Ovis aries: one gene and its partners. The protein of the gene in region 2 binds, or shares a complex with, the protein of the main gene of each other region. Links are inferred from orthologs where the notes say so. Each region holds a gene or a part of one and is shown on either strand. Other genes may lie near its edges. The genes, in order: AXIN1, GSK3B and FRAT1.

Evidence for each region.
Region 1: the proteins of GSK3B (region 2) and AXIN1 are in contact, whole or in part, in a crystal structure (PDB 4B7T), measured with the Homo sapiens proteins. The link is inferred for Ovis aries from reciprocal best matches to the Homo sapiens genes GSK3B and AXIN1. Residues at the interface, in NP_001139628.1 of Homo sapiens: Ile228, Phe229, Val263, Asp264, Leu266, Val267, Ile270, Lys271, Asn287, Tyr288, Phe291, Lys292, Phe293, Pro294, Gln295, Ile296; in NP_003493.1 of Homo sapiens: Glu384, Pro385, Gln386, Phe388, Ala389, Glu391, Leu392, Ile393, Arg395, Leu396, Glu397, Val399, Gln400.
Region 3: the proteins of GSK3B (region 2) and FRAT1 are in contact, whole or in part, in a crystal structure (PDB 5OY4), measured with the Homo sapiens proteins. The link is inferred for Ovis aries from reciprocal best matches to the Homo sapiens genes GSK3B and FRAT1. Residues at the interface, in NP_001139628.1 of Homo sapiens: Tyr216, Ile228, Phe229, Ser261, Gly262, Val263, Asp264, Leu266, Val267, Ile270, Lys271, Thr275, Pro276, Ile281, Tyr288, Thr289, Glu290, Phe291, Lys292, Phe293, Pro294, Ile296; in NP_005470.2 of Homo sapiens: His200, Leu202, Leu203, Leu206, Val207, Ser209, Gly210, Asn211, Leu212, Ile213, Lys214, Glu215, Ala216, Val217, Arg219, Leu220, His221.

The regions. Positions count from the first base shown.
Region 1 is NC_056077.1:858,710-862,352, reverse strand, and holds part of AXIN1 (axin-1), read left to right. Parts: intron 1-2,927; coding exon 2,928-3,068; intron 3,069-3,643. UniProt on the Homo sapiens protein: Component of the beta-catenin destruction complex required for regulating CTNNB1 levels through phosphorylation and ubiquitination, and modulating Wnt-signaling.
Region 2 is NC_056054.1:185,712,921-185,716,663, forward strand, and holds the start of GSK3B (glycogen synthase kinase-3 beta), read right to left. Parts: upstream 2,661-3,743; coding exon 2,573-2,660; intron 1-2,572. UniProt on the Homo sapiens protein: Constitutively active protein kinase that acts as a negative regulator in the hormonal control of glucose homeostasis, Wnt signaling and regulation of transcription factors and microtubules, by phosphorylating and inactivating glycogen synthase (GYS1 or GYS2), EIF2B, CTNNB1/beta-catenin, APC, AXIN1, DPYSL2/CRMP2, JUN, NFATC1/NFATC, MAPT/TAU and MACF1.
Region 3 is NC_056075.1:18,395,931-18,399,661, reverse strand, and holds FRAT1 (proto-oncogene FRAT1), read right to left. Parts: upstream 2,836-3,731; 5' UTR 2,658-2,835; coding exon 1,827-2,657; 3' UTR 254-1,826; downstream 1-253. UniProt on the Homo sapiens protein: Positively regulates the Wnt signaling pathway by stabilizing beta-catenin through the association with GSK-3. May play a role in tumor progression and collaborate with PIM1 and MYC in lymphomagenesis.

The DNA of each region.
Region 1 (3,643 bases), on a different chromosome or scaffold from region 2:
TGTTCTTCTTTTCTGCTGCTCCATGTGGCACGTGGGCTCTTAGTTCCTCAACCTGGGGTCGAGCGTGCACCCCCTGCAGGGGAAGTGCAGAGTCTTACCTGCTGGACTGCCAGGGGACTCCCGAGTGGACCTGACTCTGACCGTGTGTTGCCTGGGAACAGGTAGAATGCAGGTAATTGGACCTTGATGCATCAAGGGTGCCTGTTGGTAATCCCTGAAGGAACCATTGAAAGAACAGTGAAAGAGCTACTCTATTAGAGGCAGGAGACAGAAAATAGAAAGTATTCCAAAAGAAGGCAAGGAGGGACACAGGAAACTAGAACAGCCGTGACTGGCAGCGAGCAGTGAGCCGGCGGGTCCACTCTGTCGTCACACTGAGCGCAGCGGGACCGGAGAAGTGATTCAAAGGAAGAACGGTCAGACCAGATCGTGGGGAGGCCGCTGCTCAGGAAGGAGGCAGAAGCGAAAGGACGAGGAAGTTTTCGAGTGAAAGCGTGGAGGGCGGAGTGCTGCACTCAGCAGCCCCAGAGGCCTGGCGGTCCTGGGGGTTCTGTCGTGAGGTCTCCCTAGATCCCACGTCCGAGTTCCGGTTCCGGCCGTCCTGTGGGGAGCAGCCGGCGGTCCCCGAGTGACGTTTCGCAGAGCTTCCTGTGTCGCGGCACTCTGCGGCGCCTGTCCCGAGGGCTGGCCTCGCTGCCGGGCCCTCCTCCTCTTTCTCCCCACGCACTTTCTTCCCGGTGTGTCTGGACGTGGAGCTGTGTCTGTGCTGGGGTTTGCTCAGCACTGGCGGCTGGGGAAAGAACCTGTTTCCCCTGCTTGTCACCTCAAAGCTGGGTTTCCTGGGCCCCGTCGGGGGAGGGCACAGGCGGCCCATGCAGGCGTTGGGGTCACGGGCTCGGTCCTGCCCTCTTGGGAAGGGTGAGGGCCCGGGGCGTGCGGCGGCTGGCCCTGAGGTAGCGGGACATGGAGGGGCGCCTCAGCTGTCCGTGGCCTGAACTCCAGCGCGGTAGCTGTGTTGGTGGTTGTGTTGATGGTTTGTGTTTAAACAGCCAGAGGAATAGCAGTGCCATTTAGGGAGAGCGTGGGGCTGCAGATGTGGGCTCCACGTCAGCGCGCGTGTGGGCCCAGGATGGCCCCTGTCCCTTCCCCAGAGCCTCTGGGCCCTGCGCCCGCCCTCATTTGGTGGGACCCGGCTGCTGTGGGGGCTCGGGAGGACCGTGATGTGGGGTGACGAGCCCGGGTCCTGACCTGAAGGGGTGGCTGTGTGCACCGTCACCGTCCTGGAGGTGCCGTGGCTGCTCTGCTTTTGTGCTTGGCGCCCGGGAGGTGGGCTGCTCACTGGGGTCTCTCCAGCAATCCTGCCTGGCCCAGCCCAGCTCACGCGTCCTGCGTGCACGGCTCACACCAAGGTGTCCCCCAGGGCCCCGTGGATGCAGAAGTGCTCTGTTCCCTTCTCTGCATCGAGCGCACGGGTCCGCGGAGCCAGTGCGGCTGCCATTCACGAGCGCCCCGACCAGGATGAGGCTGCGGTCAGAGCCCTCCTCATCATGTGCCCCCTTCGCGTGACCTTTGGGGACTGACCACCGCTGCTTCCAGGCGGCTCAGGGGAGAGCAGGTGGTGCCGGGAGCCGTAGCTCTGAGGGACTGGCGGGGCCTTCGCGGGCTGAGCAGAACAGAGACTCCAGAAGGGGCGCGTGTGGGGCCAGGTGTGCAGGGATTCAGGGCGCGGCGGTGACGTGCTCAGTGCCCGTGGCTGGCTCTCCATTCCGATGCAGAGGAGTAGGTGGGTTTTACATGCACGAATTTCAGGTAGCGATCTTAGAAAGCAGTGAAGTACTTGGAGAAGAACTGAGGGATATGTTTATGATTGTCAAATGAGGAAAGTTGACCTATGTAAGATACAAAAAAAAAAACCTGTAAGGAGAAAGATTGGTAAGTCTGATTTCACAGAAGTAAAGTTTTCTAATACCAAAATCGACATAAAGTTAAGAAGTGACATTTAGGGAGGAAGTATTTTCACGTATGTAACCAGAGGTTAATAGTAAGAATATTTAAGTGAAAGTCGCTCAGTTGTGTCCGACTCTTTGCAACCCCACGGACTGTCCATGGAATTCTCCAGGCCTGAATACTGGAGTGGGCAGCCTTTCTCTTCTCCTGGGGATCTTCCCAACCCAGGGATCGAATGCAGGTCTCCCGCGTTGCAGGCAGATGTTTTACCAGCTGAGCTGCAAGGGAAGTTCAAGAATATTTAAAGACATCTGTAAATCACTAAGAAACTCGTAAACTGCCCAACAGAAAATAGACAGAAGGTATGAACAGGTCATTTAAAGAGGAAAGAATTAATTTAAGGACATCTCCGTGCTGCCCCTGCTGACCATCTGCCAGGGAAATGCAAGCTGTTAGTGTCGGTTTCTGGCTAGTTTGGCGCCCCACGGTGGCGCGTCCCGCCCGGGGGTGCAGGATGGGCCCTGCTGTCCTGGGGAGCAGCATGGCGGCCGCTCGCACACCCACGGCCCTCGTGCTCGCCCGCGCTGTGCCAATGTTCAGGCTTGTGCCCCGGACGCCTGGCTGGGGCCCTCGTGGACGGCTGTGGCACGGGGCCGGGGCAGGGCGGGTGCGCTCTGTGGGTCAGTGAGTCTGCGGCTGCAGGGGCAGGGGCGCGGAGCTGGTGCCCTATTTCTAGTTACTGGCAGAGAGCACGCGTGTGCTCACGGGCACAGCTGCCCAACTGCACAGGGGAGGCGTGGGGTGCCCGTCTCCCCGGAAGCATGGGGGTGGGGGCAGGGCAGACCCACGGCCTTTTCTGCCCTGTCTCTTCTGAAGGCTTTGGGTCTGTAGTCCACGTGCTGGGGTCACCGGTGATTCTGAAGAGGATCAGTGCGCGGGGACGTGGCCTGGCGGCTGCTAACATACCTCCTTATTGGCAGGTGTGGACCGTGGCGGGAGCCCGTCAACCCCTACTACGTCAACTCCGGCTACGCTCTCGCCCCTGCCACCAGCGCCAATGACAGCGAGCAGCAGAGCCTGTCCAGTGACGCTGACAGCCTGTCCCTCACCGACAGCAGCGTGTAAGTGCCCGCCGCCCCGCCCCGCGCCGCGGGCTGCTCCTGGAGGCCCTCCTGCAGACCACAGCCTCGGTGGCTTCCCTCCAGGCGAGACGCCGAGCCGCCTGGTGGTGCCCAGCCCTGGTCTCGGTGCCGGTGTGTGCAGTACGTCCAGAGCGGGCCACCCCAAGGCATCTGCTCTGTGCTTGCCCCCCTGTGATCTGGAAGCCGTCTCACCCGATTGGCAGGGCTTGTCGTCCCCTCGGTGTGGCTCTGTGCCGGCCGGCTGGGGCCCTAGAAGGTGGCATGAACCCCTGTCCAGGGATGCCTCCCCTGGGGAAAGTGCTCGCTTCTGACACCTTTCTCTGGTTCGCCAATGACTTTGGGGACCTTGGTGCAGGTCAGGATGTGATGGTGTCACACCTGCCCATGTCACACCAGGGCATGGCTTGTCTGCCTGCTGGGGCCCAACTCCACTGCCTACGTGCATCAGGCTTGCCTGCGTTCAGTCACACACCATTTGCTGTCTCTCTGCCCCGACAGGGAGGTTCTGGCTTGGAGCCAGCAGGTGGGTGGGCATCTACCCCCGCAATGGCGCA
Region 2 (3,743 bases):
TACTCCCTAAAAGGGCTCTGACGTCTGGTTTCTAATTCATCAACTTTGCTGCCCAAACCATCTTCAAATATTTTGTTCATCAACCTATAGTAAATTCCAAACTCTCTTGAATCTCAACCATAATCATAAGCCCCCTCTGCTTTCCATCAGTTAACATATTTCTCAAATTCCATCTCTTCTTATTTTCCTATTTAGGCCCCTTTTATTCAGATTTACTAACCTGCTTTATAAATACAAAAATACAAAAGTCACCATCTCTGTGCCTCTGTCCATTCTGTCCACCTAGAATCCTTTATGCTTCTCAATATAAGTTACTGCCTCCTTTAACACCTGCCTTAAAACATACCTCTGTAAGAAGTCTTCTCTCCAAGCCATCTACCTCATGCCTTTATTTTTTGTTCCTCTGAACAAAGTATTCTATTTGCATTTATAATCTTGCAGTCATCATATTACTGTTTTCACGTTTTGTCCCATAATCTGCCTCAAAAACTGATAAGCTTTTCAAGGCAAGGACTATAATTTCTTATCGCTTAAACAGGGGTCCCTTAGAACACCAGCATTCCAACAAAGGCTTTCTTCCAAAATGTATTTAAAGTTACGGTTGTCAAAAACACATAGTCAACACTGAACTCCAATCTTTTAAATGTTAAGCTGACCTATATGGTAACAGAAAAGTCAACATTTTCACCTGCACTTTGCAAGAGTTACTCCATCTTCAGTCAACATCCACAAAGGATTCATAGAAAATCCTGTGAACTAAATGAAAAGTCCCCAAATTTAATATTATTAGGTATCCCATTCTGCTCTCTGAATAAACTAATTACCTAAAATTGATTTCAAGTGGTCTTTAAACCAAGATGAAAAACATCCTAACACTCCAGTACCACAAGAGGCTCTTAAGGAGCTATTATAAGATTTGCTTCATCATAGCTGAAAATTACCCCAGAATTTTAAAATATTCCTCTCAAATGACCCCATGAAGTGCTTAGAAAGCTTGACCATTCCCTGAAAGATGCATCATCAGCTTCCCTCTTCACATACTCTGCATTCTGAACTAGCTAGTCACCAAAAAAAAAATTTAACTCTCAAAAATAATCTCCCATTCAGCTATTACCTTAGACTACCCTGTTTCAGACAAGTTCCAAAAGCCACCATGAACTGAAATCCTGAGTTCAAGTAAGAGTGTTCATTTTATAATCAATTTCACATAACAGCATATACCTTTTTAAAAAAAATCTCAATTCAATTCTCTCCTTCTTCTAAGCAGTAAAAGTTTTTCTTTGCCCTCATTCATGCTCCTTTCTGAAGGAATAAGGAAACTATAATAGATATTTTTGTCGAATTCTTTAAGTATATTTAAATAAACTGACATTAAATATCACATAAACATATCCATAACTAGAGATACGTTAAAACACTGGATACTTAGTATACCAAACACTCAAAATAGACTTTTTGAGCACAAATCTGGGAAGAGAGTATAGACGTCTAGCAACAGCCTTGAACAAAGCCCAAATACCTCTATTAAATCTGGGACCACAACCTTCTGCAAAACCTATGATGATAAAGTCTAAATCCATATTCTTCTAACTTCATAGCCTTATCTGAATTCGAAAGGAAAACAATGCGAGAGTATTGTAAGCAGTCCTAAGAAGGAACATCTGAACTCTAGATCATTTAGCAAGTACTGAAAGCAATGGCACCCCAAAGCTGAACTTTAATGATGAGTCAGTGACAATTAACATTCAACTTACTATTTAGCAACATGACAATATAAGCCCCATTCAAAACTCGGACCTACTTTCAAGTTACCTTTTGATTAAACATTAACTCTATAGTGGTAGATTGGCAATGTCAAAACGGTAAGGTTAAGAGATAACATATTAAACCGCGTATCCAATTTAGAACAATGCATGTTGAGATACTACTGCTACTGAGTATCTATCAGCGGTACCCGTCCCTTCTAAAGAGACAAATCAAAGCTCGCCTTCCAACCGAAATGTGGTTACTTAGCGAGTTCATCTCTGGATTAAGAACAAACACTTTGTATAGTCACACAAGTAAGAAAGAAATGTTAGGAGACGGTGACATTCACCTCTTCCATTAAGTATACAAAACTATGGTAACCCTCGAGACCTGAGCGAACTAAACTATCCCTCATTCCAAAAGACACACTCTGGAAAAGCACATAATGGTTTATGAGTCTTGTCCTTCGCTTTAATCAAAAGGATGAGCAAGTAAACACTTCCATCACTATTTTAAGGTGGAAACACTCAACCACTTAATAAAGCTGACTATCAATTGCTAGAAAACTGTAAGAAAAGAACTAAGTTTCAGACAGAATCATCTAAATAAAAATCCCATTCCCCCGATTCAAGGTTAATGAGACCGGAGAAGGGATATGGGAGGAGGAAAAAAGGAAGCTGCCTCATCCTTGACTGAAGACAGGTTTTTGCCCTTTCCCATTACCTCTGTTTTATCAGCAGGTCTCGTATTTTAAGATCCTGGTATTTCAAAGTCTCTTATTCAAAGGGGAGGTGGAGAAGGGGTGTAAAATAAAATCAATACTCACTGCTAACTTTCATGCTGCCAAAAGCTGAAGGCTGCTGCACTGGCTTGCAGCTCTCCGCAAAGGAGGTGGTTCTGGGCCGCCCTGACATGATCACTCTTTTACCGAATCACCTTTTTTCCTTCCTTCCTCCTTTTCTTCCTTTTGTTTTATGTTGGGGTGTTAGGTTAATGATAAATGCAGCATTAAGTTTTCCCACAGGAAAAAGACTTCGTCCTCTTGCCTTTTCACTCCTTTTGTACAGCTATTTAAAAAAGCGAGCGATGTATTTCTCCTTGAAGACAGATCAGTACGGATATTTAACATATAGACGATCCGGGGCTGGGAAAAAATTACAATTCTTTCCCCTCCTTTTCCTTGGAGGGCAGAAATGGGTGGGAGATCCTAAAAAATATATATCACGTGAAACGGGGACAAATACTGGATTGAAAATAAGTACTCTGAATATTATATTTTCCTCGGGGATTTTTTTTCCGAGTCAATGAAGAAGGGAAGCGGCGGAAGGATCACGAGTCTCACGCTTGAAAAGAAGGGGGGATGGGAAGGAGGGAGGGAGAGGGAGGGGTGGCTCGGAGATGCGTCGGGAAACGCTGCGGCTCCGGCAGCGGCAAGGATCCGGCGGGCTGACGGTGGGGGCCCGGCGAACTGGAAGGCGGCGGAGTCGCGAGTCAGTCAGAGTCGGGCGGTGGCGGCGGCTCTTCCCCTCATTGCGCCAGGAGCAGCTGCAGGCGGCGGCTGGATCCAGCGGCCATGGCGGCGGCGGCGGCGGAGGCAGCTCCCTTCAGACCCCAGGCAGCGGCTCCTCGACTGCTCCCCATACGCCGGGGACATGGGAACCCGGCAACCGCTTCCGTCCCTCGGGGGCCCCCTCCCCCGTCCAAGGCACCAGCGCGGCCGCCCTCCCGCCCCTCGCTTCTGCACAGTCCCGCTCAGGAAGTGTCCGCGCTTTGCCCCCAGTCCGGAGCCCTGTCAGCGGCTGCGGGGTCGGCTCCTCCTCGCTTCCTTCCTTCCTTCCTTTGTCACTCGGCCCGGGCGGCGGCGGCGGCGGCGGCAGCAGCAGCAGCAGCAGCAGCAGCACGAGCCCGCATTCGCCCGGGTCGGGGGCTGCTCTCTGTGAGGAGTGCCGTCTGCGCAGCCGCCTAGCTCTTCCCCACTCCCCCTCCCCCCTCCTACT
Region 3 (3,731 bases), on a different chromosome or scaffold from region 2:
AAGCTCTAAGGTTTTAGTGAATGGGACTGGTCCAAATCCTGACCTCACTTTCATTTAATTTCATGCCAGCACCAATACACACCCAGCCGGCGCAGACCCTAACTAGGGAGCTGCTCAGACACAAAGGCGCTCTAATTACCATCCACAAGCCAGGCCTGACAAGGATTTCAAGTGTTTTCATGTTTATGGAGATCAGAGAAATGTGTTCTGTGCATCTTTCCCACCGCTGACAAGTATAAAATAAAACCAAACAAAAAAACCAACACATTTATTAAAAACAGATATTTCAGTTAAGTTAACATCCTATAATCAGGATAGCCACAATTCCAGACACTCCGGTGCGAAGTGTAGGTATGTCAATAGCCACATCTGGATGACGAACATGCCATTGAATCTTATACAACTAAAACATCAACAATACCGTCTTAGAGCCTTTAGACTGCGTTAACATTGTTACGAGCACTTCACCAGGTTCACAATGGCAAATTCTGCAGCTTCTCCATTCGGAGGGTCACATTTTTTTACTCGGTTTCCTTCACTTACAAAGGCAAGCTGGCACGGCTGGGGGGAGGGGCAGAAGGAGGAAATCAACTCCATCTATCCAGGGAATTGCAGCTGTTATTGCAAATGGCCCCGGAGAGCCCATTATAAGCTGCTGCGCTAGGCTGTGTGTCCCTGGAGTGCCCCATCACGTGGTGTCTCCCAGCCCCCAGCCTGGGCCCCCAGGAGCGGCAGCGCCACCAGCTAGAGTTGGACAGCACAGCGGAGGGGAAGAGGAGGGACTCGAGGCCAGTTCTCCGGGCAGTTTCCGTCAAAGTCCAGGGCGCGGCCGCCCGCAGGAGGCACCGGCGCCTAGCACGTCGCCACCTCCCTCAACCCGCGGTGGCAGCGGTGCCCGTGTCCTCAGAAGACTCCAGCACTTGCAAAACACCGCGTACTACTCCGAGTACAGGCAGAACCGGGTGACTCTGCCCTGCTAGAGCCCCGCAATCTCGTTTGCGCCCAGGAAATGGTGACCTTGAACCCGAGGAGGGGCGGACAGACGGTGAAAATACACATTCAAGAGGACCGCGGGTTCGCTCCGCGCCGCGCCCTCACCTTTCCCCAGGACCTCTCACCCCCACGTCCAATTAGCATCCCAGGTGCTCCGCCTTCCCCCGCCGCTCTGAGAAACGCTGACAGTCGCAAAGCGGGTGGGGTGGGGGTTCGCAGAGAAAAGGTTACTTCTATTCAGTTCTCCAAAATGTCCTTTCACGGTGCCGCGTGTTTTATACCAAGTACAAGCACCTCAAAATACACGAGATAGGTGTTTTGTTTTTTTTTAAAGTGTCGTAAAATTTCAAGTCTGGCAGTTTGAGGTACTCCCTTAAATGATCTACAAATGTTCCCCTCTCCTAAAGTGAATCAGGAACCAGCCTTGGAAAGGTAAAGCAAGTAACTGGGGTCATCCTTGGCCTTTGGGCGCTCCGCGATCCTGTGAAGCATGGACTCCGGCCACGTGGTTGCCAGGTTAGAGTACCCGAGAGGCTGCGTGGAACCGCACGCTGCGCCACCAGGGCTGGTCACACCAGTGAGGAGTCCTACTGACTGCGAGCTTGGGGTGCACTCTGTAATCTGCCTTCAGTGGCACCAACGAAGTCAACCACGTCGGGGCCCTAGACCTCAGTTCCCGCGAACACATTCTCAATTTTTCGATTCCTCATCTTCATATAAGGTATTTTCCCGCTTCCGGAAGTGCGACTTCACCAGTTTGAGTAGAGATATAGCCCTCAGGGGAACCCCTTGCCCTTCAGGCAGAGGCTCGCGCAGTGGCCACTCTCGAGGTGTTAGCTGCCAGGGACTAGAACGCTGTCGCCTGTTCTGAGCTGCGCCCTCCTCCCGGACGCGCCGGGGTCGCTGCAGGCCGCGCGAGGGCTGCGGGGCGAAGGGGGCTCATGCACTGGGGCCGACAGAGGGCCCAGGAGCTGGCGCTGGGGGAGCTTTGCGTGCAACTGCAGCCGTCGCGAATGAAGCCTCCGCACCGCCTCCTTGATGAGGTTTCCCGAGAGCACGAGCTGCTGCAGGAGCCGGTGCGGGTCGTCGTCGCCGTTGCGGGCTGTAGGCTGTAGCCCGCGTCGGTGCTGGAGGCGGCGGGAGGCAGCGGCGTCCCGCAGCCAACCTCGCCGGCAAGGGCCCGACAGGGGCTGCGGGGAACCCCGTTTGTCTGCTCCCAAAGGCCCGTCAAGGCTGGGCTGAGGGGGCAATGGGGACAGCGCGCTGGGGCCTGCGGCGAGCTCCGCCACAAAGTAGGGCGCAGCCCGGCCCCGCACGCGGCCGCGGTCCCCGAGGGCGCAGCGCAAGGCCCCCGGGGGCGCCGGGCCCCCAGCCTCGACCGACGCGGCCGGTAGAAGCAGCGGCTGCGCTGGGGCCCGGGCCTTGTCCGCTCTCACCGCCGCCGGGGGCCGCGGGGGCTGCAGTGGCGGCCCCGGGGGCGCGCACGCGGAGGCAGGGCGGTCCTGCGCCGCGTCCAGCTGCAGCGTCTCGCCGATCTGGGCCACCAGCCGGTCCACCTCAACCGAGCCGCCCACAGTCACCGACTGTTCCAGCAGTAGGAAGCTGTCCTCCTCCTCCTCCTCTTCCTCGCCGGCTTCCTCTTCCTCCTCCCTCCGGCACGGCATGGCCCCCGGCGCCGGCACCCGGAGCTGTGCGGGGGTCGCTGGCGGCTCGGCTGTCCCGGGGGCTCGGTGGGCCGCGGCGAAGCCGGGCGCGGTGCCGAGGCCAAAGCCGGAGCCCGGGCGGACGCGGAAGCCGGAGCCCGCCAGGCACTCGCGCCGCGCGCCTGCAGCCGCGGGAGCCGGAATCCTACCGGCTCGGGTTGATTTGTAAACAATGGGTGACGTAGCCGCCGGGCCCTACCACCGGGCCGAGGAGGGGTGCTCCGTGCATTTGGGGGCCCGGGCAACCTCTGGGCAAGAGTCGTGGGTGAAGCCTTGCTCCCTCTGAGCTTTACAGCCCTGATTGCTGTCTGCGGGGGGAACTGGGGAGCCGATCTTCGCTCTCTGAGCCTGGCATGATTGACATATCCAGAAGATGGACACCGGCGTGGCCTCTGTTGGTTTCTTCCACACACAAGCACAGACACTTACACCCACACACCCACACACTTCTCTAGGCGCGTCAACGTGTCTGGTTTTGGCATTTACGCTTTTGAGGTTAGGGATGCCGGCATTTGGGAAGTGATGGCAGCGTGAGTGAGGCGAGTGATGGAGAGAAGGCGTCAGGCTAGGGATCTGTCTGGAGATTAGGGAAACGAGGCTGACAGATGAAAAGGAAGGGGACCCTGTGGTGCGATGGGGGTGGCGGATTGGAAATTGGCAAAGAAAAGCCACTGATTCGTGTTTTTTTGATCGGGAGCGTGGGTATGTGGGGACCTGGACAGTTACTGTAGAGGAGGTTGCTCGTCTTGGGGGGAGCGGCGAGCTAGAAAGTTCTTTTAAGAAGAATGACTCAACCCAGTAGGGGAGTATCCTTTCTGAAATGGGTAGCAGGAGAGGAAAACGGTCAGCTATTTGGATGGAAATGGAGACACGGCCATGGTAACCCTCCAAGATATCCTGGTTGGTTTAATGATTAACCAAGACTTCATTTTTTAAAAGAAAGAGAGATAGAGAACGATTCTTTATCATCGTATTGTTTGGAGTTTTAAAACCTGTATTAAAAATCCCAAACCCCTCAGGCCTAACTTCTGAACA